Linked DNA regions of Sus scrofa. The protein of the gene in region 2 interacts with the protein of the main gene of each other region in a pairwise test. Links are inferred from orthologs where the notes say so. Each region holds a gene or a part of one and is shown on either strand. Other genes may lie near its edges.

Region 1 (2,842 bases), on a different chromosome or scaffold from region 2:
ATAGGAAAATATATTCCCTCGTGGTTGCTGTGGTTATAATCACCCTGGCATTCTTCCAATGGCCTCATCTATTTATTTAATTCTCTCGGCAACCCTTGGGGGAAGATCAGGAAGGGCAAAGAATAGTCACTGCCCTTTTACATGGAAAAGGGGCAAAGAGGTGACATGCACGATCAAAGGCTGCCTCGCTGGTTTGTGTGGCCAGACTTTCTGCCCGGCCCAGTCCAACGGAACTGAATTTCCACTTCTCCCACCAGTGTGGAGGCAGCCTGGGAGCCTACAGATGAATCGGAAGAAGAAAGGGAGGGGAAAGCTTCGGATCAGAAGACTTCAAAGACATATCAACTGCTAATGGGTATCAGGGGTCTTTCTGGGGGTGATGAAAATGTTCTAAAATTAGACAGTGGTGATGGTTTCACAACTCTGTCAATATATGAAAAAACTGATGTGTACACTTGAAGTGAATTTTACAGTATGTAAATCAAATCTCAACAAAGCTATTACGAAAAAGATGTATCAGGTTTTTTTAATGGGCAAGACTAAATGCTTGCAGCTAGGAACACATATTTAGGTGCTAAAACAAAAGATGCAAGGAAGCCATTACTATAAAAGCCAGGACGGGCGTTCCCATCGTGGCTCAGCAGAAATGAATCTGACTAGCATCCATGAGGATGCACGTTCAATCCCCGGCTTCACTCAGAAGGTTAAGGATCCGGAGTTCCCGTCGTGGCGCAGTGGTTAACGAATCTGACTAGGAACCATGAGGTTGTGGGTTCAGTCCCTGCCCTTGCTCAGTGGGTTAACGATCCGGCGTTGCCATGAGCTGTGGTGTAGGTCACAGACGTGGCTCGGATCCCGAGTTGCTGTGGCTCTGGCGTAGGCCGGTGGCTACAGCTCCGATTAGACCCCTAGCCTGGGAACCTCCATGCCTCGGGAGCAGCCCAACAAATAGCAAAAAAAAAAGACAAAAAAATAAAAAAAATTTAAAAAAAAGAAGGTTAAGGATCCGGTGTGGCCATGAGCTGTGGTGTAGGTCACAGACGAGGCTCAGATCTGATGTGGCTATGGCTGTGGCTGTGGCGTAGGCCAGCATCTATAGCTCTGATTCGACCCCTAGCCTGGGAACTTCCATATGCCGAGGGTATGGCCCTAAAAAGACAAAACAACAACAAAACAGGAATAGAAAAAGGCACATAGGGCAGGGGCCAGGAGACCCCTAATTTCCTCTCCCAGTGGAGTCAGGAGAATAAGGCTTAATTCTCCCAACACAATGTGTGACAACACAGACAGAATATTGCCAGCCGGGAGGCCCAGCCAAGACTTGTGTCCATGGCTTTGACTGGGGGGTCGGTCACATAGGCAGACCCACCACCCACATCATGACCTTAGTTTCCAGTCCCTCCAGAGGTCAAGCTGATACTGCCTGGCCCAAGACCCTCAGGTAAAGAAAGACACCTTATCAGGCAGGATATTACAAGGGCTTTGTTTTTTTTTTTTTGGTTTTGGTTTTGGTTTTTGTCTTTTTGCATTCTAATTGGAGCTGCAGCCACCAGCCACAGCAACGTGGGATCCGAGCCGCATCTGCAACCTACACCACAGCTCACGGCAATGCCAGATCCTTAACCCACTGAGCAAGGCCAGGGATCAAACTGGCAACCTCATGGTTCCTAGTCAGATTCGTTAACCACTGTGCCACGACAGGAACTCCTCCAAGGGCTTTGAAGTTATCTCCCAGTCAAGACTCTCCTTTCTTTGGAATGTGCGGATCTGAACAACCTAAGCCTGCTGAGTTAAGCACTTACTTCGAATTCCTTAACATCTGAAATGGGAATCTTTTTTTTTTTTCCCAGGGCCACACCTGCGGCATATGGAAGTTCCCAGGCTAGGGGGTCGAGCTGGAAGTGCAACTGCAGGCCTACACCACAGCCACAGCAGCACCAGATCCAAGCTGTATCTGTGACCTATGCCGCCACTTGCAGCAACACCGGATCCCTAACCCACTGAGCGACGCCAGAGATGGAACCTGCATCCTCATGGATACTAATTGGGTTCTTAAACTGCTAAGCCACAACAGGAATTCCCTGAAGTGGGATTCTTAAGCCAAGTTGCCGGCCTGCCTGAAGCCAGAGAGACTGGGAAACCAACATGTTTTCACACCCAAGGAACGTTTATAGGTTTACCTGCCTTACAGTCAGAGAGTTTCCAGGATATAAGCCATACAGCCAGAAGGCAGGGTACAGAGCAAAGGAGGCAGAGACTGGATACTCGTACAGAAGCTTCTCTTGATCAGCCACGGAATAGAAGGCGAGCTTTTCCTTCTCGAAGTCCAGCCAGATGCCTACCACACCAGGTCTGTCTGAGCCAAGGACAGTTTGCTTGACTACGTGCCACGCAGAGAGCTGGCTAGCCCCGTTCCACTCCACGCACCAGGAGTCGCTGGTCCTTCCCAGGATCTGGTCACGCCTCATCCCCCGGGAAGCCACCCCAACTGCCCAGTGGCTACAACGCTGGGTGTCCACTTCCCAGTACCGCTGCCCAGAAGAGAAGCCCTGGGAACCCAAAACCTGGCAGGAGGCAAACCTCTCGGGACTCCAGGGATAGGACTGTGGGTAGTGAGATACGGTCACCGTCCGGTGATCCTCGGACACCTCCAGGCTACAGGAGAGGCTCCCTAGGTCAAAGGTTGGACTGATGGCCCCTGAGGGAAAAGAAACAAGAATGTGACCAGCCAGCTCTGATGGTTCATGCGAAGAGATCCTCAAATAGCAAAAAGCAGCTTTGTATCTTCGAGTGTGATAAAGTTTTACTCACACTAACATAAACCCTGGTATATCAACGTGCA
Region 2 (3,500 bases):
TAGATGTGTATATTCATGGAAAGATTATTATAATACTATATTGGTTACCAACAGATTCTCTAGGAATAAAGCAGGAACAAATAATGGTTGACAAACCCTGTATTGTTTCTACTTCCTATCTGATCATGGCAAGGTGGTCAGAGAATATGAGAAGCAGGAGGAATCCTGAAAGGACCTTGCAGCAGCCACATATTTCATGTATGAAGAAACTTGGCTCAGAGGAGGACGTACCCAAGGTCTCTCAGCTAAATTATGTCAGTTACCACAAACCATACATTCTTTCTGCCGACAAATAACACTGCTCCCCACAATCAACCTATCCAGGCAATAACACTGGATTAGGCAAAACTGATGTAATGAGTAAAGAGCCTATAGCAGGGAAAATTACTGAAAATCTTGAGGCTTAAAACAGATAATTAGAAAAAAGTTTTCACCTTTTAAAAAGATTTGCTGCAGGATTCCTACAATTAATTAGCAAGATTGCCTATGGTCATATTTGATTTATAAACAAACCAACATCAGATCTGTTTTTAGAAGGACATGTATGTACAGTGATTTTAAGAATGCTCCCTGGTAGAGGTTCCCTGGTGGCTCAGCAGGTTAAGGATCTGGTGTTGTCACTGCTGTGGCTCAGGTTCAATCCATGGCCTGGGCATTTCTGAAAAACAAAAAAAAAAAAGAGAGAGAGAGAGAGAGAATGCTTCCTAGTAGTTTTGAGACATAAACAAATAAAGGAAAAGAAGCTGGTTAGTCTAAAGGTTCCTTCTGGATTTCCCATCGTGGCACAGCAGAAACAAATCCCACCAGGAACCATGAGGTTGCGGGTTCGATCCCTGGCCTCCCTCAGTGGGTTAAGGATCTGGCGTTGCCATGAGTTGTGGTGTAGTTCGCAGACGCAGCTTGGATCTGGTGTTGCTGTGGCTCTGGCATAGGCCGGCGGCAACAGTTCCCATTAGACCCCTAGCCTGGGAACCTCCATATGCTGCGGATGCGGCCCTAAAAAGACAAAAGACAAAAATAAATAAATAAAAATAAAGGGGAGTTCCCGTGGTGGCGCAGTGGTTAACGAATCCAACTAGGAACCATGAGATTGCAGGTTCGGTCCCTGGCCTCGCTCAGGGGTTAAGGATCTGGCGTTGCCATGAGCTGTGGTGTAGGTCGCAGATGCGGCTCGGATCCTGAATTGCTGTGGCTCTGGTGTAGGCTGGCGGGCTACAGCTCCGATTCAACCCCTAGCCTGGGAATCTCCATACGCCGTGGGTGTGGCCCTCAAAAGACAAAAAGACAAATAAATAAATAAATAAAATAAAGGTTTGTTCTAACCATTAGCCTCAAATTCAGTGAGCAGGGTACCTGAGGCAAGATAGAGACAGCTAGATGGTTCGTGTCTGTGCCTTTACATGCATGTTGGCTAGGACATACCTCATATATACAAGGGGAAAATATATGTCTTCCTCATATGTACATGCATTAAGTACACATATCCTTAGTAGCTGTCTGACATTCTCAACACATAAAAGGTTTAGGATCAATCAATACTTGGAATTATAACAAAAGGGGCAAGAAAAGCACCAGTAACACATAACAGATATTTGGGCAGAAGAGGAGAGATTCAGAGAAGGAAAACTGTGTTGACTGTTTTCTCTTTGTCCCTCCATATCCACTACTTCTTCCTTCTCAAATCTGCTTTTGCCCTGGGAGACTGACCTATGAGGTCTACAGCTGGGTTTGGCCAATGTGAAGCCCTGGCAATAGACCAGCAGGAATGAGGAGGGGAAGGGCCTTTATTCTCATGTTCTTCCCCTGCAGGTATCTAGTCCTAAAATTACAGTCTCTCAAAGTGGCTCTCTGAAGGACTCTATGTCCTTCCAGTTTCCAGAAACCACTTACCCCACCTGCCTCCCCCCATTAATTTGTGTGTAGGAGTGGCACCCGCTCTGCTATCACGAACCCCAATTTGTGAACTCTCATAGTTCCCCTCACACCCTTCCATGCAACTGTAAACAGCTCTTTTTGTTAAACTCTGTGTTTTTTAGGGATGCACCTGCAGCATTATAAAGTTCCCAGGCTAGGGGTCAAATTGGAGCCGCAGCTGCCAGCCTACACCACAGCCACAGCAACACCAGATCTACACCTGTGACCAACACCACAGCTCATGGCAATGCCGGATACTTAACCCACTGAGTAGGGCCAGGGATCAAACCCACGTCCTCATGGATTTGTTATTGCTGAGCCACAATGGGAACTCAATCTCTCTTTTTTTTTTTTTTTTTTTTTTTGTCTTTTTGTCTTTTGTTGTTGTTGTTGTTGCTACTTCTTGGGCCGCTCCCACGGCATATGGAGGTTCCCAGGCTAGGGGTCCAGTCGGAGCTGTAGCCACCGGCCTACGCCAGAGCCACAGCAACGTGGGATCCGAGCCGCGTCTGCAACCTACACCACAGCTCACGGCAACGCCGGATCGTTAACCCACTGAGCAAGGGCAGGGACCGAACCCGCAACCTCATGGTTCCTAGTCGGATTCGTTAACCACTGCGCCACGACGGGAACTCCTCAATCTCTTTTTAAATTAACCTAATTTGATGGAGTTCCCGTCGTGGCGCAGTGGTTAACGAATCCGACTAGGAACCATGAGGTTCGGGTTCGATCCCTGGCCTTGCTCAGTGAGTTAAGGATCCGGCGTTGCCATGAGCTGTGGTGTGGGTCGCAGACGTGGCTCAGATCCCACATTGCTGTGGCTCTCATGTAGGCCAGTGGCTACAGCTCTGATTTGACCCCTAGCCTGGGAACCTCCATATGCCGCAGGAGTGGCCCTAGAAAAGGCAAAAAGACAAAAAACAAAAAAAACACCTAATTTGAATGTGCCATCTCTTTTGCACTGATACTCAAAAGACTCAAATACAAACAGGGTCATAAGATGAACCGCCATTGCTTGACTCCAAGATCTAATCTCTCTGACAGAATAAGGAAGAAGATTAAGAAGTTCATTTGTGGGTTCTAGCATTTTTTAATATTTTGCTTTAGAGGCCAGATAGTTCTAAGAACAGAACAGAGAAACATGCTATTTTTAAAATTCCAAAGGCACCAGAGAAAATGCTCCTATGAGTTAACCAAAAATTGTATGCATGCTAATACTCCCTGATGACAGTACAGCTTTCATTAAACTACAGTTTCTTTTAACTAGCAACTTATTACTCACCTCAACAAGCCGCTCTTTCTGTTCAGAGAGTTTGCAGGCATATTCGGCCAAACCTTCTAAATTTCCTTCTACTCCAGTAAGTTTTAATGCTTTTAGAACCACATGATCAGCATGGTATTTTAACAGATCTGCTGCCAGCTGAGCTGCTGTACTATGAAGCTGCAGATGTGGGGGGTGAAGGGTAATGAAAGACAGACAACAAACAATAAGGTTTTGTGACCAAAAACTTCACGAGTACTTTAAAAAAGAGTAGCAACCTCAAAGCAGTCCCGCTTGACCTGTTGAGAGGGAAGTGTCAAGTTCC
Region 3 (3,500 bases), on a different chromosome or scaffold from region 2:
GCAGTTATTTTAGTTTGCCTATAGAAAATTGTAATGAGGGTGATTATTTTTTTCACCTAGTATGAACATAGCAGAGATTAGGAGGTGACTGATATTTCAAGGAGAAAAACGCTTAATGATTATAAATGCATATCTGGAAATAGAGTTTATACAACCATAACCATACAGATTAATCAAACTGACCTTCTGTGATACTAATACAAGAAAGTATTCTCAGGGACTTCGAAAATCTCTAGTAAAACATTTTTTTTCCCTGATTTGGGTGAAAATGACTTTGTTCCCATAGAGCACTATCGGGCCCCCTGAACTCTCAGGTATTTCCTAATACTTCAGGAGTGGGAGCTGTCTCTTTACCTACATCTTCATCCAATGCCAGTGAGACTTAAGAAAAACCTCAGAGCTTCAATACCCATCAAACCCATCAAACTTAAAGCTGAGGGATGCAAACAAAATGCTTTAATAAGAGAGGGTGCAGGGAGTTCATTGTAGCACAGTGGGTTAAGGATCCAGTGTTGTCACTGCAGTGACTCGGGTTGCTGCTGTGACACAGGTTCAATCCCTGGCCTAGGAACTTCCACATGTCGCAGGTATGGCCAAAAATAAATAAAAATAAGATAAAATAAAAAGAGGGTATGGTTCAGGTTTGGTGTCTACTAAAGGGACAAGACAACACTACTAAGATTGTCAAAAAGAGAAACAGCAAAGAAAGGATTTTCCCCTTTGAATCACTTGTGATTTTGTGTGACTTTTGCAGTGGATCTCTTGAGCCTGTCAGCTGCATGCGATGCCTTGGACCAGCACAACCTCAAGCAGAATGACCAGCCCATGGACATCCTGCAGATCATTAATTGTTTGACCACTGTTTATGATCGCCTGGAGCAAGAGCACAACAATCTGGTCAACGTCCCCCTCTGCGTGGATATGTGTCTCAACTGGCTGCTGAATGTTTATGACACGTACGTATGGCAGGCTTTTTCCAGACTCTGTCATGGGAGGCTTGGTTTACAGAATGGTGACAGTGTAATTACCATCACAACAGGGCTCCAGTCTAGAAATATGGTCCTTGGAATGAAAGTTTCATGAAGCCCTCTGACCTTATGTTGTCCCCGTGATTAATCATTTTTGCCTTTAATGGAACTGAAAAATATGTTGAGAAGTGGGGAGGGTAAGAACAATAAGGTAGGTTGTTCTCAGATCATCAAGCAGACAAAACCCCAAAGTTACTCATTTTTCCAGTAGTAGCATGAGACAGTGTGTAGCCCTTGGTTCTCTGCCTTCCTTGCCTGTGTACTTTGAACTTCATCCTCTTCAGGGATGGCTCCCTCTCACCAGCCGGAAGGGGTGAGCTCCTGGAGATGCTGGCACACCTGTCACCAGCTCTGAACAGTGTTTGCTGATATTCATAGGTTTTTGCAGAAGGCTGCATTGATAAGCAAAAAGGAAAAGAAAAGAAAATAAGCCCTTGATGTAGCAAACTCAGCTCCTCAAACTGAGGAAGTTTTGTCTTTTTTTTTTTTTTTTTTAAATAAGGGTTTATGAAGTTGCAATTTGGCCCTCCATTTATCTCTCTCTTAGAACTTGCTTATTTCTTTTGGATTACACTTAGGCGAGCTCCCCAGTTTCATCTTGAGCTTAATGAAGATAATTGAGGAAGGCAGCAGAAGGAATTGGTCTTAATTTTGACTGAATTCTTCTCAGACCTCAAAATTATTATATGCCCGATTTCCCATGTCAATAAGAACATTTTCCACATTTGGAAATCTGCAAAGGTTTTCTGAAAGGAGTTGCATAGCAACTGTTTTGCTTTTGCCTTTGTTGTAGATTTCTACCATCTCCTGGCTTAAAATGTATACCTTTTTTTCTTTGTTACTTTGATAAGGCATTGCTTTCTAAATTCCAAATCACCTGGCTATTGAATTCTGATCATTATCTACCAAGCTCTTGAACATGTTGGATTTTAATTACGGATTATACTTACACTTGCTTTGATAAGGGTTTCTATTCAGGTCTTCCCTCAAATGTATTTTGGCACCATTTTCTTTCCAGATGTTGTGTAAATGGATTCTGGTAACTTCCTCTCTCTATGCCTGAAAATTTTGAGGGGACAATTTTAACTCCTTGAAGACCTGAGTTTTTACATAAAGTTTGTTAAACTTTGCTTTGCCTTTTTAAAAAGGGAAAAAGATAAAATCTTCAATGATAGTGCTTTTGTTAATGTGTTAGGACCCACGATTTCCATTTTTTACTAATAGATTTAGTAAATTGTACCAGTTGAAAGGTGAACATATTTTTCACCAAAAATAACCACCATTGGGACTTGTCCTTTGCCATTCTCCAGACTATTTTTTTAACCAGCAAATATGGTTCAGTATTTTTCACAACAAAATCAAAGCTGAAAACTATCAAAAGGCATTTTCTAGAAAATGAAAAACTTCATTTTAATTTTCCCATGGATAAAATGAACTTATTAATAAATACCTTCTGGAATGCTTTATATGTAACATGAAAGTACATCTGTATTAAAACATTGCTGTAGCAATAGGTTATTTTTAATTTGCTGTTTAAGATCATCTAGCTGAATGCTCTCTAATAAACTGCATCATATTTTTCTTATAGACATAAATATTCCCATTTTATATTACATGTCATGTGGCCTGAAGTGATTAATTTTCTTCTCAATAAAGGGCAATCTGATGAAAATCTAAATGAGTGTTGAAGAGGGCAGAGCAGTTAGGCAGTTAGTTAATTTTTTTTTTTTTTTTGGCTTCAGTAACCAAAGTAGGTAATTTGCTTATTAGTACATAGTAGTAAATCTTCCACTTATTAACTTAGCCCAGGTGGCTCTCCCTAGATAAATAGAGGCTATTTTTTTCTTCTTTTATGTAGAGAAACTCTTACCATTCAAGAAGGGGTTTTTAAGAATTGAAAACTTGCTAAGTGTTCATTGGTTGAGTTGGTCAAATTTCCATCGCATTCTAGGTTATCAGCCAGATAGATAATGAACTCAGAAATGTTCTTAACGATCTTAAACAATGGTCAATAGAGTTCCCATATCCAAGGGTTTTTTTCTTAACTGAGAAGTTTTTTATCATTTAGTAAAGTGTCAGTAATTGTTTTTCTGCTTTGATTATTCATAATAGGGGACGAACGGGGAGGATTCGGGTCCTGTCTTTTAAAACTGGCATCGTTTCTCTGTGTAAAGCACACTTGGAAGACAAGTACAGATGTAAGTCATGTGTATTAAGTCTGTATTCTTTTATTAATGGTGGCTAATTACCCCTGTTCTAGATGGGGAATGACATAGTGTTCTTATTTGGCAGCAGGTTCCTCATGTAAGGTGTAGAACTACTTTTAGACTGTCATAAAATTTGGTTTGTGCCATTCCCTGTCAGACGTTAAATTGTAGGTATTTAAATAGAGAATGAGGATTAACTTCTCCAGTGCAAGTGTTATTTTACATTGCATTGACTATGTCTAAACAAAACACATGTTCCTTGGGG

Evidence for each region.
Region 1: the proteins of CTNNAL1 (region 2) and RNF135 interact in binary tests that used the Homo sapiens proteins (3 or more experiments, as listed by UniProt). The two-hybrid records come from large-scale screens. The link is inferred for Sus scrofa from reciprocal best matches to the Homo sapiens genes CTNNAL1 and RNF135.
Region 3: the proteins of CTNNAL1 (region 2) and DMD interact in binary tests that used the Homo sapiens proteins (3 or more experiments, as listed by UniProt). The two-hybrid records come from large-scale screens. The link is inferred for Sus scrofa from reciprocal best matches to the Homo sapiens genes CTNNAL1 and DMD.

The regions. Positions count from the first base shown.
Region 1 is NC_010454.4:42,793,255-42,796,096, forward strand, and holds the end of RNF135 (E3 ubiquitin-protein ligase RNF135), read right to left. Parts: intron 2,699-2,842; coding exon 2,169-2,698; 3' UTR 501-2,168; downstream 1-500.
Region 2 is NC_010443.5:250,029,949-250,033,448, forward strand, and holds part of CTNNAL1 (alpha-catulin), read right to left. Parts: intron 3,356-3,500; coding exon 3,197-3,355; intron 1-3,196. UniProt on the Homo sapiens protein: May modulate the Rho pathway signaling by providing a scaffold for the Lbc Rho guanine nucleotide exchange factor (ARHGEF1).
Region 3 is NC_010461.5:27,124,228-27,127,727, reverse strand, and holds part of DMD (dystrophin), read left to right. Parts: intron 1-754; coding exon 755-956; intron 957-3,140; coding exon 3,141-3,226; intron 3,227-3,500. UniProt on the Homo sapiens protein: Anchors the extracellular matrix to the cytoskeleton via F-actin. Ligand for dystroglycan.